Drosophila melanogaster: one gene and its partners. The gene in region 4 interacts genetically with the main gene of each other region. Each region holds a gene or a part of one and is shown on either strand. Other genes may lie near its edges. The genes, in order: CG10341, amos, Ref1 and mbl.

Region 1 (4,765 bases), on a different chromosome or scaffold from region 4:
GACTATGCAGCATACCAGATCTGGGACACGGCCCAGGCCTTCTGCAGCACCATCTGCGGCACCCTGTGCACACACGCCATCTTGAAGGGCATCGGCGTGGGCAGCGAGAACATCAATGCCTTTTCCGCAACGGCGACTTGGATCTTGAAGGAGGGCAGTGGTCACGTGGGTCGCATTGTGTTCGCATGGTGGCAGGGCTCCCAATTGGATGTGGACTCAAAGAAATGGCGCCTGCGTGCGGATTTTCTGAACGATCTGGCCATGGGCATCGAGATCTACGTGCTTCCCAAGTATCCGCATTTCAGCACCCAAATCCTGTGCTGCTCGACCCTGCTGAAGGCGATTGTGGGCGTTGCCGGAGGTGCCACTAGATCGGCATTGACCCAGCATCATGCCTTGAGGGGCAACCTGGCCGATGTGGCATCCAAGGACAGTTCACAGGAGACGTGCGTGAATCTGGTGGCCTCCTTTGTGGGCCTGTATCTCCTCTCGCTGATCAAGAGTCAGGCGGTCCTGTATACCATATTCTACGTGGTGGTCAGCCTGCATCTGTATGCCAATCTGAAAGCAGTACGCGCAGTATGCTTGCGAAGCTTCAACGAGTCGCGCTATTTGATCGCCCTGGAGGAGTTTTTCAGGTCGTCAAGGATGCTCAGTCCGCAGCAGGTTGGTACATCGTTGATCTTGTCGAAAAATAAGGTTTTGTTCAGCTTTGACTTTTTTTCTAGGTGAACGCCATGGAGCGTGTGACGGTTGGCCAAACGGTTTCAGTGTCACTGAACATAAAGCTCGGACTGAGCGTTAAAAATTTGATTGACGAGTACAAGAGCAGCAGCGTTATTGAGAACATAGTGTCCTCCTTCGATCCCCACGAGCACTTCATCATCGCACAGACCAAAAAGTGTCTGGGTGTATATCTGCACTTTGAAACTCGTCCGCAGGATGTGCTGAAGGCGTACTTCTTTGCAGTGTCCTATTTGCAGGACAGGAATCAGCTTAAGGAGAAATACTGGGACATTCAGACGAAGTGGCAGGAGTTTTTGGCGCTGGCGCAGCAAGAGGGTAGGGATAAATTGATTTCATTTGTACTATTAGTGCTAGAGCCCTAATTAATTTTACTATGTATTATAGGTTGGCTAATCCATCATCACTTGCTGCTGGTGGACGAATACCGTTTAGATTGGAAGGTGTAGGAGAATGGTGACTTTGATTGCTAGATTTTGACCTTAGTTGCTTGCTTTGACCTGAAGAATTAATTTCATTAGACTTCATTATCATTCTCACATATCTCACATGGCTACCATAGAGCGAAAACATTGATATTAACTAAGTGCTATTGATATTTACCTAGATTTAGCTTTGTGAATCTCGTTCGCACTTGAACATCTTCCAACTAACTCTGCCTTAGCACAAAGTAATGTTTGTAACCGATATTTGATAAGCTAATTTCGCCCTGCTTTTACCCATGAATTTATCGGAAGACATTGTTTCAATTATTAGCTGCTACTAGGACTAAAGGAGACACAAAAGAAAATCAAGAAACTATTTTGTAAGGACTTATTGTAAGTATGCACTTCGATATTTCGAGAGCATACAATACATTTTTAGATATTAGTCATGAAGAATCTCACAACGAACTACGGAAAACCCGTTTCAATTGCATTCTGAGCAAAAAGTGTACAAAGTTTTAAGCTTTTTTTAATGCTAAATGTGCAATAGTAAGTTAAATATTAGCTTCGAGTATATACGGAATAAGTTGGCGTCCATTTTTGCTTAACTAAAATGCTTTTCAATGAATGCAATATATGAATTGTGTGCATACCGTCTCACCACGCAAATGATTTTAACGAAACAAATAAAAGTAAACAATTTTAAGGACAAAAATATTTATATCACATTTTTTAACAATAAACATTTTAAAAATTATACATTCGTTTTCAACATTTTAAATTTTTTGAGAGCGGTATAAACCATTGCCATTCGCAACGGCTCGATGTATTTTATTTATGACTGTGAATGTTATTTTAGAAAGAAGAAGACAACACGTGCGTGCATTCAACGTGTGTATTCTCAGTTGATATTCGTTTCCCTGCGATTTCAGCTTGATTAAGGAATTGTCTAACTATTTAAAGTTAAATAGGCATGGAGAGTGAGCAGCCAGCGGCTGTAAAGGCTTCAGCTCCAATTGAAGAGCCACAATCCACCGAAACAGCTGTTGAATTGGGGAAACATAGCACCTTGAAGGCAGACTTATCAATAGATAAGTTGGAAACAGCGACAACAGGTAAGCTTATAAGCTTTCTATACTATAAGTTCAATAATAGATTTGGAATTTCAATGCAGAAGCTACGAATGCCGTAGTAGAACCAGTAGAAATGGAGCAGCAGGTGGAAAATGAACTGGTAAATGAGTCAACACAAGCCATGACATCGACCACAACCCAGGAAAAGGTGGTGGGTTCAGTGAATAATCTTGTAGAGGAGCAACAGTGTGTGGAAATGGAATTCGAAACATCATCAGATCTCGTGGTCCAGGGAAGTCCATCGGAAGAATCCAAAAAAGTTGCCTCTGACGCTTCTGCTACTGTGACCGCACCTCAAGTTCAGCCCGCTCCACATGTTGATTCAAGCCCTCAAGCAAGTGGCCTCAGTCTGTTGGCTGCCTACAGCTCTGATGACTCGGATGATGAGAAAGTCACTCCAGTGCAGAACGGCGACAACGATGTGATTGAAGTTCCAGTTACGGACCCCGCATCCTCCACCACCGCATATCGTCCAGTTGTAGCTGTGAGCTCGGATGACGAGAGCTCAAAGAGCAGCAGCAGCAGCAGTGACTCAGACTCCGATTCCGAAGGAGAATACCTCACCGTACTTCGGAAGAAGATTGACAAAAGAATCAACACCGTGGATTGTGACGAGGATGACGAGGACTTTGATGAAGATGGGGCTACAGGAGATCGGTCTCGTCGTCGCCAGCCCCCGAAAGTACGAGGAGAAATGCTCCTTGATGACCTTCCGCCTATTCATCAGCTAGAGATTACTGTACCCGAGGATGAATGCGTTGAACTTGGCAAAGTTCAGTCCATCGTGGATCAGCTTGTTTTGGTTTCCGTGCTGCCGAATTCCATGCTATTCGATCTCGACACCGTTTTGTTCCTGGAGAAGGGTCGCAAGGTCCTGGGCGAAGTGTTCGATGTGTTGGGTCAAGTGTCGGATCCACTGTACTGCGTTCGATTCAACAGTAACAAACAGATCCTCGATAGGGGCATCAAAATTGGCGACGTAGTGTACTGCGCTCCCAAAACCGAACACACTCAATTTGTGATCCTCTCCAAGCTGATGCAAGTTCGAGGATCGGATGCTTCGTGGGAGCACGATGTAGAACCACCAGCCCGCTACGTAGATCACTCGGATGATGAAGAAGAAAGAGAAGCCAGGGCAGAGCAGCGAAAGCGCCGCCAAAGGGATCGCACAAACTCCACAGATTCCGTGGACACGGTAACCTCGGTGGCCACGACAGCCACTAAGGCTTCTTCAGTTGCTCCTCCTCCTCGTCAACGCGGACGTCGTGGGCAACGAGAGAGTTTCCGCCAGAGCCAGCGACCCTCCATTAACCAGCACAACCAGAATCAGCCACAGGACGAACAATACAACTTCCATCCAAGCTACAATCCGGGCAGCTGGCACTCCAACTACTACCAGAACTATCACCAGGCAGCGGCTAACTTTAACATGGCTCAGCAGCATCCTGGCATGCCCTTCCCAGTGCCTAACTATGGCTACGGAATGCCCTACGCCATGCCGCCCATGTACCCACACATGTACCCGCCACCACCACCCTTTGCTCCTCCTCCGCCGAACAACCAGTCACATCAGGGTCAGCCGCCACCCAGCTAGAGATAGGTATGACAATTCAGTGAATTACTTTTATTATTCCAATAAAAAATCTTTATCAATTTGCGTGTGTGTTGTTAAAAATGTGTCCTGGGTTGTTCGATAAAATGCATGAAAGGTTCGTTGGATTTGTATAAAAAGGTACTTAATCTGTGTGGGATCATTAAATACGGTTACGGGTGTAAATATATACGCGTTTAACTACGATATATGTGTACCTGGCTACATGGCTTGGCTTATTATCGTACAGCAGGAAGCACTAAGCGGCCGAAAACAACTTCAATGTGTATAAATATGCTTGCTGGCTAATCTAAAATATATGTAAACATATTTATGTGCGTAATTGTGCACTTTTTCTATATACTATTGGGCTAACAACAGTTGCCTTAACTTGTTAAAATTTCGTTCAACTGCTGAGCAACCACAAAATATTTTGATTGAGCTTATTCGAGCAACCAAACAAGTGGACCGGGATGGGGTCATCCATATTCAGGACCACGTAGGCACGTGAGAATGTGACAATAAAGGTAGGAGCACTCCGAACAGCTCCAAGCTATTTACATTACAACAATAACGTAAAGTAAACGAAACAACAATGGGCCGGTTTGGGTTAATTCTCGTTGATTAATTTGCAAATGTAGGTTCGGAAAGTAATCTTTGGGCATATTATTAGTTTTTAATTAGGCAAGGACTTGGGTTCTATCATCTTGTAATACCTTATTTTCGTTGTATCACATTAAACGATTGCGTACGTTCAATAATCTTTTAGAAAATGGATTATATTACTTATATTCCCACAATATGCATGCCAATATCAAGTGTATATTGCGTTCTTGAATTGTTTAAAAATATTTGGCACATTTTTCTCTTTC
Region 2 (3,737 bases), on a different chromosome or scaffold from region 4:
GTTTCAGATAGATACTCGCTCGGTCCACCCACAGTTCCCATAGCACTTACAAATGACTATGTTTAAATCAATTTTCGTCTAATCTTCGAAGGATCTAAGGTAGCGACTGTGTTTATCCTCAGTGTGTTTACCTGTTGACGTTTGCGGCATTTAATCACTTCTGTTTTGGAGTTCCATCACTTTGAGTCGGAAGCGGAACTCATTAATTCTCGGTTTGTTACTGATGTTATGACCTTTCGTTTTGGTTCGTGGGCGTGGCGCACTGCCTAGCTTGCCATGCCGCTCTCATCTTTCAAGGATAACAAGGATACCCTTTTTCGGGCTGAGATGAAAGCGTGGCGAATAAAAACAAATGTGGAGGCATCAGTTGGATTGATAAATGGAGTTTTTACATATATTTATGTAAATTAATAAGTCTGATAAGTTATTTACATTTCAGTACCTATAAACTTCCTATCTTTTTTTTAAATATTTATTGGATTTTTCCCTTTTTCTCTCTAAAAATATCTGCTCTAAATTCTGTATATGTACCAGCAAAAAATGCAAAGATACAATTCAAACAAAATATAAATTTCCAAGTTCGCACAACATTATTTTCATTCCAACTCCACCATTTCATACGATATGAATTTAAAACAATATAATTGATTTGTATTTTCATTTTTATTATAAAACTATTGCTTGAATTGTGTACAACTATGATAATAAACGTAAAACTAACAGCCTTTATAAGATTTCCACTAGGATATGAAGGTGTTGCTGCAACACAGCCCGCAAAAGGAACTTCCATTTGAGGAAGAAAGGATAAAGGATCGCCCACACTGGCTAGTAGTCTCTGGACAGCAACGTGACCAGATCCCCGATGTATGCTTGCGCCATTTGCAGAGTTTCGTATTTGGAGAGTCGCCGATCGTGGCCGAGTGATGGAACCACATCTCTCAACTTGTCGAAGGCATCGTTCAGGCTGTTCATCCGCCTCCGTTCCCGAGCATTGGCGGCCAGTCGCCGTTTTTTGAGGACTTCGCCACCGAATCCCGCGGACGATGAACTGCTCGAAGAGGCGGAGGATGTAGATGATGACATGGAAGTGGACAGCTTGTCGTATGGCTTGCTCCTCTGCTGCTTGTTCCAGTACCTTGGACTTCTGCCCTGATTCTTGCCCAAGGGATTCGCTTGAAGGTGGTGCTGCTGCTGCTCCTGGGCATTCAGCATGTGCTCCAATTCCAGGACAGACGGCGTATCGTAATACATCTCCAAGGAGCAACTGTTGGCGCCATCCGACTGGCTGTCGCTGGTGCTGAACTCCTGCTGGTACATGAGCTGCTCCAACTGCTGGAAGGTGTCGTTGCTCAGGAACTCGGGAATCGCTGGGGCTTCGTCGGGGAAGTAGAACTGCTCCATTAGCTCGTTGTTGGTCAACATGTTTACGTTTGCAGGCTCAAGGGACAACTGAAGTGGCTGCTTGAGGATGGGTCTTTATATAGCTGCCTGCCGAGGATTCAGCTCTCACGTGATTGGTTCACTACATATGTCCTGTTACCTGATTCGCTGCCTCAAGCTGATCCGATCCGCTCAGGTACCCGATTGCCAACCTCTTGAGGATCAGCAGCACAGCCCGTGCCCTAAATTGGCTTGCGGTCAAGACGTTTAATTGTCTCTGGCTGCAACTCTCTCCCTCTTTCTCCCAGGTATTTACTGTATCAGCTACAGGTCGACTCCTTTTGTTTGACCTGTCATTTGGCTACCGTCTGTAATCATACCTCTTTTGTTACTTGCCCTGGAATTGACTTTTTATATTCAAACAAAATTTAGCCAAGGTCAAAATGCGAACGCACAAAAGACTCTTGTCATATGGGAATATTTTCCACAATGTGTGCCTCCATCGAAGATCGCCATGGATCATCTTGGTTGCATGTCTGTGGTCTAGTGAGTGGAGTGCTCGACTGGTTGGATGCAAACCCCATTTTTCGGACAGAACAAAGAGCAACAATTGTGCTTGTGCGGTTTGTGACTTTCGATTTTAGGCGGTTGTACTTACTTTATTGGGTCAAATTTAAGTGGGTGTATTAATAGTGGCTTTCTCCTGCTTTCAATGGCCAAATTACAGGACGTCGAGAAGTTCGAAATTCAAAAAAGCATGAAGAAATCAAAGCAAGTATCACATTATTATTATTTATTATTATTTTCATATTAAGGGATTTGAAATGTGCTATATTAACGCCTTTACTGAAGAGTTACTTTTCCGATAATAAAACTACACTACTTTAACATGCTGAAACCATTCGATGGGTCCTTCGAAACTCTGGTGCAATATGTTGCACCCTCACATTATATACTTTCATTCGTATGCTCTGGTTTCCACAGTCATCTTGGGATCAAGCCCACTTTCAAGTGACCGCATCGAAAGGCTAATTAACTCCACAGACTCGCAGCATTAGAGGGAAAATCAATTCGAGGAGTTCGCTGAATTTCTAAGGAAACTGGGCAAAACAATTGGAAAACACTGGCCGAGAAGCGCCGAGCATGGCTAAAGAGTACAAATGATGCCACTGCAAGATGGCCCAGTTACTTCGCCCAAATTGTCAAGGAACAAAGTCCCGAGCCGACAAAGGATCCTGACGTTTGATCTTGACGATGATGATGATAGCTGATGGATCGATCGATCGCTCGATCGGTTCACTTTGTTAAGAGTGCCACGCGACCGCAGCTTAGTCGAAATCCTGGCCCAGATTAGGCATTATGCTGCAATATTTTCGGGAGAAAGGTTCGCGGATAACCTAAAGATCTGCAACGCCTTCGAAAAGAGGTTCTGGAATTTCCAATTAGCATTTTTCTGCGCTACCTGGGACCTCGATCCTGTCAAAATAGCAACAATAGGTAGTCGGTTGGTGGGCGGTTCTGGTTGAAAGTGGGAACCTCTCTCCGCACTCCATCCATATCCATGCCCGTTTGTTTCTTTTCTTCTGACCAACAATAGGTCACCTGATGATAATCTCGGATACGTCTGGCAGTTGCGTGTTTTTGGGTTTTCCCTGCCAGATTAATCGTTTTCGCTTTGCGGATTAGTTGTTGGCGCTAAATTGCGAAAATGAGATTAGAAGTCAGAGTCCCGGAGTCACCAGGAATTCCATGGGAATCTCTTCTCGCCCGACACTTGTTGATTCCACTCTTTGTATTGCAATGCCTGACAATGGATCTTTGTTTTTTGGTCCCATTGTTGGTCTGAAATGGATCAGACCTAACTTCATTGTCCTGAGCATAATTACCATGTAATAATCTGGAATTATGAATTATTATATACAAAGATTTGTTTGTTTCCAAGTAAATTCGTTGTGGTCACAGATGTGCAAAAATATCCAGACAGTATGTCTAGCAAGAACTTGAAATGGATGTTCCTAGCGAAAGCGGAGAATTGGAATATAATTTATAATTGCATACTTTAAATGTTTTTGCTGATCATTATTTTATTTAAATGTACGCCCTTTTATTTTTTTCCAGGTCAAAGAATAATTTCCTTCTCTTTAAAGAGTGGTTACAAAAGTAAAGTTATAAATATTTAAATGTTTTGCTTAGATCTCAGTTCCACAAAACTCATGCCATAACTTACGGCACACTTCAAGGTCCAACAAGGATACATGTTTAACCAGGCCGGCTAGTCCTTGCTATCAACAAAATGTCTGTTGGGCTGCCAAGGATAGCGCCCCGAAAAGTGTCAGGCAATTGCGACTGTTTATTGG
Region 3 (5,321 bases), on a different chromosome or scaffold from region 4:
CGTTTTACTTTTCAAGTACTAATGGTACAGTGTGACCAAGGGTCACGTTTGCGTTTAAATAATTATTTTTAAAATACTGAAACTCGCGGGCACTGTGGGCCACTTCTGCGTAACTGTTCCTAAAAAACAAAATAAAACGGTTATGGTTGTATTTATAATAAAAGCACAAGAGAATGCTATAGTCGAGTTCACAGATACCAGTTAGTGTAAATGCGAACACGAAATTTCAACATTTTTCTGGGAGGGATCTAATATCTAGGGGAATAAAATGAGCAAAAATTTTTCAATTGCGTCTTTAGGGCGTTAGAGCGGCGTGGTAAAAAGTTTTTCGGCAAATCGATAGAAATTTACAAGGCTAATAGAATTTTGAAAAAATTCGAAGAATTGTTCAAAAGTTTGAGCGTGGCGTTTTTTACGGCTTGAGAACGTAAGAGTGGGCGTGGCAACATGGTCTATGTCTCTAGAGGCTGTATGCTGAATCTGAACCTTCTCGCTTTTATAGTTCCTGAGATCTCCACGGACATGGCTAGATCGACTCGTCTATTGTTCCTAATCAAGAATATATATACTTTATATAGTCGGAAGCACTTCCTTCTAGTTGTTAGATACTTTTCAACGAATCTAGTATACCCTCTTACTCTACAAGTAACGGGTATAACTAGGCTGTATCCCAATCAAGAAATTTGTATTTCCATTTGAGATTTTCGGATTAGATTAAGATTAAGTTGTTTATAAGCTAAATGTTGAAAATTTTCTTCAAAATTAAAATTTAATTTTTTTTTTTTAATTTGAAATGCTACCAGCTCATCTAAAGAAGCCTCACAACTCCTGCAAGCAGAGCTACGCTGGTTTCTTCTTTGGAAAATTAATGTCAACGCCCTGAAATCTGCGCAAATAACTTTTGCATTAAGAAGAGATGACTGCCCACAAAGTAATTGCATAAAGTACCTTGGCTTGCACCTCGATCCCAGACTAACGTGAAAAAACACATAAAAGCAAAGCGCCAGCAACTAAATCTAAAAAGTTTGAAGATGACCTGGTTGCTGGTTGCCGAAAATCTGCAACCACTCTGGAAAATAAAGTCCGTTTATACAAAGCCATACTAAACTTATACCAGCAATTCAAATATTTAGATTCTACAACGCTACCAATCAAAAATATTAAGACAAATTGTTGATGCTCAATTTTTATTTCAAATGCAAGTATCCATAAAGACTTAGGAATCCCTTATGTTAAAGAAGAAATAGCAAAACATATTAAAAAATATATAGACAGACTAAGAACACATGAAAATAACTTAGCCTTAAGTTTGGTAAAACGTAATAACAACGTCAGAAGACTTAAAAGATTTTACGTGCTAGACCTCCCTGACAGGTTTTAAGTATTAAAACATGTTATGCCTAGAGTATGTAGTAGGGATTAATGGATAACTACTGCCTCTGTTAATATAAGATTAATTATAAAATGTACTTATTGTCATACTTTTTTAAGACAGATTGTAAATAAAAAGAGAGAAAAAAAAAACTTAGATGGGAGGTAATCATTCCAAATAATTTTCCAAGATCATAGTCATTTTAATCACAACATTTAATCACAACATTATTATAATCACATATTTATTATGGTTCTAAACATTTTCAAAAGTGGATATTTCCCATATTATTAGGATATTTCGTGAATATGAATTATAATAATTTTTAATGTTATGTTATATTTTATGTTTATATAATTTCCGTATTTACCCTATTTCGCCGTTTCATTTTCGTTGACAACTCGTTGTCGTCGTTATCTTGACGCACACCGTTATTCAACACTTTTTTCCTCTGAACCAATATGGCGATTGTGTAGATCTGTGTGCGTCGTTTTTGCAAAGTTTTGTGAAATTCCACGCGCTCCTCCTTAAAAAAAAAACGCTTTAAACACATTCTTCAGTAGCAAGCAGAGACCCAATCTTTCCCTTGACTTTAAACGATCTCCAAGTAGTCAATACAGCACGCAATAAGCAAGATGGTGGACAAAATTGAAATGAGCCTCGACGACATCATTAAGTCCACACGCTCGCAAAAAAAGCCGCAAGCCGCCCGCGGCGGACCAGGTGGCGCCCGAAAAACGGGCGGACAGCAGCGTTTTGCTGGTGGAGCCCGCCGCGGCGGAGCCAATGCCGGCGGCTCGCCCAGGAAGCCAGGAAGCGTGCTCAAGGGCCCGCGAGGAGGAGTGGCCGCCGGAGCCGTTCAGAAGGCCAAGTTCCCACGGGTAATTCATTGCGTTTCAATGGCCAAACGGAGCAGCCGGAGCAGACCATCCCCGTGCTCAGTTCACCAGGACAGAGCACTACCAAAGCAAGTGTCTTGCGGCCCATGATCCGCACAACAGTGCTTGGAAGCGAAAAACAGACTCAGAATCTAAACCAAAATCAAAATGGCCACCATGCGCCTTCCAACGGACGGAACAACTCTTCGAGCCCGAGCAGAGCCTCAAGTTCAAGTTCCTTTAACCCCGTTTTTACAGAATACCAAACAGACGACACCTGTGTCTTAACTTATTTTTCCTCACGTCTCACGCCTCACGTTTTCCACGTGAACCATACCCAGTTAACAAGCATTTCTAGTGTCTCCGCTCAATATGGCTGTCCTCTCTTGTGGCTAGGATACGATGCAACTGCTACTGCAACGGCTACTCCCGCCACATACATATAGTTGATACGCGCAGCGTTCGAAGACATACCCATCTACCTTCTACCTAATACTACCCCCACCTCTAGGGCGATGTGAACAGCGCTTGGAAGCACGATATGTACGACGGACCGAAGAGGGGTGCCGTCGGTGGAGGATCTGGACCCACCCGCCTCATCGTCGGTAACCTGGACTACGGCGTATCCAACACGGACATCAAGGAGCTCTTCAACGACTTTGGTCCGATAAAGAAGGCGGCAGTGCACTACGATCGCTCCGGTCGCTCGTTGGGTAAGTGCTAGTACTACTCCAGCTACCTGTCGTTAGGTGAAACATTTCGGTACATGCTGTTCATAAAATGGCGGCAGAATGGTTCAGTAACAGACATTCCAAGTAATATAAATCGGCTTGAATTGATAACAGATCAGATCATCCGATGAAGCTGCGGTTTTTATTTAGTATTTTGATTTATGCCGAAATTTAAAGCTATTGCCATGTATTTGATTTATTCACTTTTCTTTGCAGGCACCGCTGACGTGATTTTCGAACGTCGCGCCGACGCCTTGAAGGCCATTAAACAGTACCATGGCGTACCTTTGGACGGACGCCCTATGACCATTCAGCTGGCCGTCTCAGACGTGGCCGTGTTGACCCGTCCCGTAGCCGCCACCGATGTCAAGCGTCGCGTGGGTGGTACTGCACCAACTTCATTCAAGCGTGGTGGTGCGTATCCAAAATGCTACAGCAGGGACCGTGAATGATGCCCATTTTCGTTTATTTTTACCACAAACATCGTTCATTTAAAACTATTTCAGATCAATTTTGGATCTATCCCCATTCCCACAAAGATTTTTAAATGCCTATTTATTTCGATTACCTAGTATGTCTTAGGTTTCAAATTTTGTTACTTGACTTTTTATACGAAATACTTTCCTTTCTTTGTTATGTTTTCTTGTCAACAGCTTTTGTAATTATTCAAACTTTTGTTTCGATTTAATACGATGTTTGTTGGGTAAACTACGTTACTAGGTCAGTTCCACATATGAAAGCTTACCTTTCTATAATGACCATGATACGGTCCCATGACGATCCATCCTTGCTCCAATGCTTACACTATCATTCCGAACTGTTTTTTAGGTGGCCAAGCTGGTGGCACGGCGCGTCGCGGCTTCAAACGTCCGGTCGGTGGCAAGCCGGCGGCAGGCGGCCAGCGACGGGAGCGCAAGGCCCCGCCCACTGCTGAGGAGCTGGACGCCGAACTGGACTCATACATCAACGACATGAAGATCTAAATAGTGAATAGTCTGAATTAGTCTAACAAGAATAGAAGAGCAGCCCAATCTATAGTTTTAAGCCTACCATATGGACACCCCCCGCATGGTACATAAATGCAAACGCATCGACAACGCCGCGCCCAGGAGCAGATCTTTGAAAGCATCGGACATCAAATCAATCAACCACTTGCGCATTTATCCATTAATTGTTAGTTTTGCCAATGCGGCGGATGTTAAGATAACTGAAATACATTTGATGCTGTATTTATTGTATTTAGAAATGCGCTTTATCAAGTTCGACGATAAATTGATGGACCTTGTCAAATTAAACTGAATTGTAATAAATACTAGAATTAATTTCGTGACCAAATCGAATTGTATTTACTGACTCAATAGGCTAGGAGTATTGTTTAATTACTAGGCGGCGGCGGACTCCGAAGAATCTCCATCAACTTGCAAAAATAAAAGAGCCATCACTTACAATTAAATGTTTTATTTGGAGTAATACATCGATGGTTATATTGGTATTCGTTTGGACGAATTTTACAGACTATAAGAAGATTCGATTGGACACTTTAAGTACAAATGCTAAATTAGGCTTAGTAGGTGGTAGATTTTAGCAAAGTCAATCCATATCATCCGTATTTGTGGGGCGGAATCACGAGTTACTTAATTTCAACAATTTCGTTAGACATTTTAAACCTGTTACTTAGACAATAGAACAAATGTGGGACATGAAAATGAAAGGGCGAAAGGAAGAACGACTTGGAGTGCTGCTTGGCAAAATATAATCAGTTTCCCTTCTTCTTCGGCTGATCAGCAGGTTAATATAGGTAATGCGCCTCTAAATATAGGTGTATACGTATGTTATAAGCGAGTTATGTATATTTATAGTTTTATGATTCTTATGTCGGTCTGAGGATGTGATGGTGAGTCATTAAATGCTTGGCAGCTGCTTCTGCTCCCGGGCACACTTCCTTCCCTCCTTCCTCCCTCTACCAGAATCCGCCCGACGAGAATCCGCCGGGTGGAACTCGGCCGCGTGCCTCTCCATTTGTGGCCGCTGGTTTGTTCGCCGGCTCCTTGGGCTGGCTGGGTGGGGCGGACTTGGCCTCCTCCTTCTGGATGGAGACCTCTTCGCGAATTTTCTCCACCACCTTGTTGGGATCCGTGGAGCCCATGCAGGCATTGAGGTTTGAGGAGTTCTGTTGGTTGTACTTGGCACGCGGGGCGGGAACGGCCACGTCGGGCTCCGAGAAGATATTGGTGTGTCCGCCGCCTGGGGGCTTCAGCACTCGGCTGGAGGGACGGGCACTGGTGGTCAGGCCGATTTTCAGCTCGGTGGATGTCATTTTGTCGCTGCTGGTTGTGGTTT
Region 4 (5,484 bases):
AATATTAGACAACATTGTTAATCTTGCTAATATCCTTATAATTATCGATATACAACAGCCATAATAAATTACATGTTTCGGCAGTGATTTGGCACATTCCAATCATAATAGACGCAAATCGGATTTATCTCCATTATTTGTAAACATAACTCATTATTTGCTTCATCCACGCTTACCACTCCTTCAGTTCGCGATTGTAATTCATGTAATTCATTATGCATAATTTGCAGACCAAAAAACCTTTCACTTGCCCCCGAGCTCCATTAGCGATCTTTGTTTCTCTTTCGGGTCACTGACAAAAACTCCAATTTGAAATCGTTTAAAAATAGTGAACTCACACAAACACCGATGGACTTCTAATAATAAAAATCAAATCCTGGTGGGGGCGGGGTATATCCACCGTATAGTGGAGCTAAAATCATTGCGGGGGCGTTCCTCGATCTGGATCTGCATCTGGTTCGGGTCGGGTCGCTCTCTCTCTCTCTCTCTATCCCCTTTCATATGGATTTGGCTTTCACATGCCAGTTCTCGTTGGACTTCGTTTTTTTCGTTCTTGAAATCGCTTACATTCACTTTTTATTACAATTAACCTACACGGAGTGGTGCATGGTGTGCGTTAGTGGTATTCCCCCCTTTCCACGCCTACACCACATATTTTAATTGCCATGTGGGGGGTGTTAGGACCATATCTTTTGTTGCCAAAAAATCCAAAGAACGAAACAAATTTATGACATAGAAATGTCAAGAGTTGTGGCTGTGTGTGTGCGTTACATATTTCTATTTCTGGCCCGCTGGGCTGCATTCGGATATATAGCTATACCGTTATGGATGGGATGCATTTACGTAAATGATTTAGAACATATCGAACACATTTTGAAGGTGACTTTGACAGAGCGAACAAAGTTCCAATTCACTAAGTTCACTTATTTCTGTCCTTAGGCCCAAATGGAAACTGCAAGCAAACATTAATTATCATTGCGGTGTGTGAACAATTAGAGCAATGGTATTTTTCAAAAATGTACCTGGCCATTGCATGAATAAGTAGAACAAATGGTTTTTTGTTAAAAATAATTTAATAATTATATTCTTTAAGGTGCAGGTTTATACATATTCAAGATTTACAAAAAACCTTTTTTAATGGGGTCTTAGCAAAAATAATGAAAATTTCCAAAAATAAAAGATAATTGTTTTGTATATGTACGTACTTAAGCTGACGACTTAAAATGAACAGAAAATCATCAAAGCAAATTTATGACACTAAGCATAATTATAATATAATAATTATAATATACATAAGCCCTAAATAATTATAACGTGCCCAATCACTTGTGTCAAAATTGTAAAGATTTTTAGAAATTAAAATTCCTAAAATGTCTATTTATATGTCCATATTTATTATCTATTATTATCTATAGTTTTACACATTTAAATTTTTTTATCACCTAAAAAAAAAAGATTTATCGAAGGCTTGAGAGAGCCACAAAAAATACATTATCTAGTTTCTACCGTTAATTTAGTCACCGATTTGCAAAAATTAGTTGCCAGGCTATTTTATAGTCCGCAACCTACGCCAAAAGCTTAAGTCTGTCTACTTTTGGCCAGTTAACCTTTTAGTTGATTGTCAACTCGACTCGCCTTCATTGAACTCGGCAACCCCTAAAAACCCCCCTCGGTAATCAACAAAACCAAAAACACTCGAACTCTCTTCATTGGATAAAAGTACTCTTTAAGAGCACACAAGAGAGCTCGTCGGACTGTGGGACAAACAAACACTTTTTCGTACTGAATGGAGGGTTGACAGTTTGATTGCAACAGTTGACACCTATAAAATTTAAGCTGACGAAAAGAGTTAGTCAAGCATTTATACACTAATATACAAAATAATATATAAATTGGAATATCTTTTCCACTTCTTATATGCTACAACGTTTTGAAGTTACTAAAATGCCACAGTATGTGGTTTTTTGCCCCACAGTGCAAGCGTAAGCGAAAGAGAATGACAGGCAGAGAGTGAAAGAGAGCGAGAGAGTTTCGAGTCGAATTGGAATGGAATGACCAGAAAAATATTGCTGCTTTCAGTTTCGAAAAATTTTTCGATGGAAGCGGTTCTGTCAGCGGAAAAGTGAATTATACCAGAGCCTGCCTGAAAAACTCAAGAAAACCCCATCAAAGAAATAGCAGCTCTCAGCTAAATAATAACAAACACAATACTTTCTGCTCAGTCACCGCAAACAGAAATAATCACAATTCTGCAAAACGCCGTCATCAAAAAAGTTTTAGCCTACAACTCTAGAAACGCGGAAAAATTTGTCAAAAATACAACTAAAAAAACAACAACGCGAGTGCACGTGTATGTGAGGTGCTCAGTAAGAGTGTTTGCGTGTGTTCGTTTCTGTGTGTGACAGATAATAAAAGGAGAAAAAAAGAAGTTGTCGAAAGTCGTTCGTGAAAATTCAAGAAAAATAGTGCAAGCGCTGCAGGGAAATTGTCCGGAAAAATCGCAAAATCCATTGTTTTTAGCCGGCATCTTAAAAACCAACGATAACAACAGCTTCTGCAACAACGCGCGTGTTTAGTTCACACACACACCACGGAGCGTCGAGAAAAAAAGGTTAAAAATACATTTTCAATTCACCATCGGCGTAAAAGTAAAACAATAAACAAATACAAGAAAATAAAACAGCAGCCGCTTTTTCACCCAACAACAACAATTTCAACAACTTCAACTTCGCCAGCAGCAACAACAACAAGTCAGCTGGACAACCGAAGGTGTTTATACTTAAAAACAAAAAAAAAAGAGATCGTTGTGTTTTTTTCCTTTTGTTTTCTCTCTTTTTTCGCCTTCGTCTTAAGTTTATGTTTTTTTTCTATCCATCGGTTTGTCTCTTCCCTTTCTTGCCACATTTCGTGGTCTTGTTTGTTATTGCTGTCGAATTTTCGGTGATGCCAAGTGAAAAGTCGGAAATTCTGTTTCATGACAGGGAAAACTTAATATTGTAAGGAAAGTTGTTCTCAAGACTGGAGAAGAAGAAATAATGGGAGAAAATTAACATAAGTAAACGTAAAGGAAACTAATGTTTTTCAAAGTTAATAAGGTGTATGTAGTTTTAAAGTGTAGTATCCATCCAATAAAACTTCGGTATTTAAAGTTTAAAAAAAAAAGTTAATTTCAACATACATAAAGTCTCATTGGTAGTGTTTTATAATTACAGTGTTGCAAAAGAAGTCACTTACTTAGAGTCTATTTAGTGCTGAATAAGGTGCAGAAACATTGACGTATTCAATATTACAGAGATGCATATGCATATATATCGGAGGCTAATTTATATTGTTTGATTTAAATAATTTAACAACAAAATTCTATTTACCAAATTTGTTCAGGCCAAAAAATATAAAAAAGTACGGAGCAATATACACAAATATACATTTATTATTGAAAACAAACTACTTTACACGGCCAAAAATATAAATTCTGCATTAATAAGTGTATTATAATCATTAAAAAAAACTTGCTTAATCTGTTAAAATAATGCACATCTCGTTCACTTGGCTTGGTAAAGCTTAATGACCGAAAATCAAATTGAAATTGAGCCTAATGAACTGTGAAATAATAATTAAAATTCAACAAATTGCAAACCAAATTTGTCAGAGTGAAAATGGGAATGGTTATTCCACATTATTGGGCATTAAATACGTTAAATATATCCACATTATTTGCGAAAGCGCCCTAACAGCTTAACATGAATATATATCATCTGTGGAGTTAATTAACTTAAAAGCACGGTAAAAACTACAAATATTCGCGTTGTAATATAATGCAAATTTAGCCATTTTTATTCTAAAGCCGGACAAGGCCTAGACTATTAAACAAACAAAATGGAGAAAAAAAAAATACATCTAAGTCGAGCGATTTTTACTGTGCGTTTCAACACTGTTAGCCAGTTGTAAAGAAACACACGTGACAATAAAACAAAACGCCTGCAAACAGGCAATTACGGAATTAATGGCTAAATCAAATTGTTTTGAAAGCTTACGATATTTAATGGGCTTAGACACCCGAACAGAAAACAGACATGATTCTTAAATTTAATGTGATTATTTTGTTAAACGAAACTGATTCAATTACCGCATTTGTTCTGACACTGCAAATCGATTTCATTTTAGGGTCTTAGAGACGAATTAATGGGAAATACGATCCCGAAACGCACTGTACTCGCACATGCAAATACATAGATTTTATTTTAACGAAAAGTCACGTTTTTTATGTGGTTCTCCACCTAAAAACCCACACCCCTCGCTCTTGCCAAGTCGTAACCATTAAATTTATGTTTATTTCGGTCCTAGCTTCGGTTTCAGTTGCAAAAAGATTGTTATTATAATTTTTCCGATTTGTTTCGTTTTCCTCCAGTTCAGATATGCAAATTGAATTAGCTCTGCCCGCTGGCAACTGGAAAACAAAAAGCAAAAGTTTGACACATTTCGTTTTTATTTTTACTCTTCATTTTTACCCATCATCATCAACAAAAGTGTCAAAAATGTGTTGCTGCAGAAATATGAGTCAAAGAAATCGTTTGGAAAATGCCAAAAATGAATTATTATTTCTGTCCATTTGTTCAATACACTCTGACAAGTCATTCACTTTTTCTCCTCCGAACGTACTCAAAAAATCAAACTCGAACCATAACTACAAAACGCCACGAATGCCACAAGACGGTTTTATATTTTGTTGGTGAAGGGGATTGGTATGAAAACTTGAGGACTTTTGGCATGACTAATCGATTCGATTTTTCGCCAAAAACTCATGCCGCAGTACAAAAAGACGAGGCAAGAAAAAACGTCGCTGTGAGAAATATGTGTTTGACTTGTAGTAAGAGGGTTTTGTGCTTTAAGCTCTTCTCAATAGGTCGTAAATATCGATAGGAACACCCCCTTTCGGTTGTCGAAAGTGTGGAAATAGCGTTGTATATGTCCGTGTTTGTTTGCTCGGCTCGCGATTTCAGTTTTGATGCGAGATGACAGCACTCGAAAAGGTGTCAGAGTTCAGACGAAAGGTATAAAAAGGTCTAGCCTTAAATCGCTAGAAAGCTCAAAACAATACAATTTGCTTATGAGCAAATACTTGTTAATTAATGCTTTTAAGTATATATATTCACATCTTCACTAAATAGCTAAATACAGTGTTCTGGAAAAAATTTCAATATATTCAAAATTGGCAAACTATTGATCGAGTTTTCGTTTAATGCTGGAATTTTTATATCTGAAATATCGATTCGTTGCGTTTCTGTTTTATATCTCATCTTGTATTTTTGCATTCACATAAACATTTCGTTTCCGTTGCGAAGATTTTCAGATCTTAGTTTCCTCTCGTTCAAGTTTTTCATCTTTTTGATATTTTGAAACATGTGCTCGTGGTCTTTCTTTTTTCTAAAAATATCAAATACTTTTTTTCGGTGCTAGAAATTTTGTATTTGGCCTTTTCAATAA

What was found.
Region 1: of mbl (region 4) and CG10341, changing one enhances a phenotype caused by changing the other (phenotypic enhancement), as found in Drosophila melanogaster (one study listed by BioGRID).
Region 2: of mbl (region 4) and amos, changing one enhances a phenotype caused by changing the other (phenotypic enhancement), as found in Drosophila melanogaster (one study listed by BioGRID).
Region 3: of mbl (region 4) and Ref1, changing one suppresses a phenotype caused by changing the other (phenotypic suppression), as found in Drosophila melanogaster (one study listed by BioGRID).

What each region holds. Positions count from the first base shown.
Region 1 is NT_033779.5:18,696,693-18,701,457, forward strand, and holds CG10341 (uncharacterized protein), read left to right. Parts: upstream 1-2,021; 5' UTR 2,022-2,142; coding exon 2,143-2,284; intron 2,285-2,343; coding exon 2,344-3,896; 3' UTR 3,897-3,953; downstream 3,954-4,765. Other genes in the region: CG10338 (uncharacterized protein), read left to right, coding at 1-666, 729-1,062, 1,132-1,193. UniProt on the Drosophila melanogaster protein: RNA-binding protein required for the maturation of the box H/ACA small nucleolar ribonucleoprotein (H/ACA snoRNP) complex and ribosome biogenesis.
Region 2 is NT_033779.5:18,595,485-18,599,221, forward strand, and holds amos (absent MD neurons and olfactory sensilla), read right to left. Parts: upstream 1,438-3,737; 5' UTR 1,423-1,437; coding exon 826-1,422; 3' UTR 652-825; downstream 1-651. UniProt on the Drosophila melanogaster protein: Transcription factor involved in early neurogenesis; sensillum basiconica formation and maybe sensillum trichodea development. Promotes multiple dendritic (MD) neuron formation. Required for olfactory sensilla; regulated by lozenge (lz).
Region 3 is NT_033777.3:7,076,896-7,082,216, reverse strand, and holds Ref1 (RNA and export factor binding protein 1), read left to right. Parts: upstream 1-1,829; 5' UTR 1,830-2,007; coding exon 2,008-2,253; intron 2,254-2,761; coding exon 2,762-2,963; intron 2,964-3,197; coding exon 3,198-3,395; intron 3,396-3,809; coding exon 3,810-3,964; 3' UTR 3,965-4,313; downstream 4,314-5,321. Other genes in the region: CG1943 (uncharacterized protein), read right to left, coding at 4,942-5,298.
Region 4 is NT_033778.4:17,263,443-17,268,926, forward strand, and holds the start of mbl (muscleblind), read left to right. Parts: upstream 1-2,075; 5' UTR 2,076-2,769; intron 2,770-5,484. UniProt on the Drosophila melanogaster protein: Required for terminal differentiation of photoreceptor cells. Vital for embryonic development.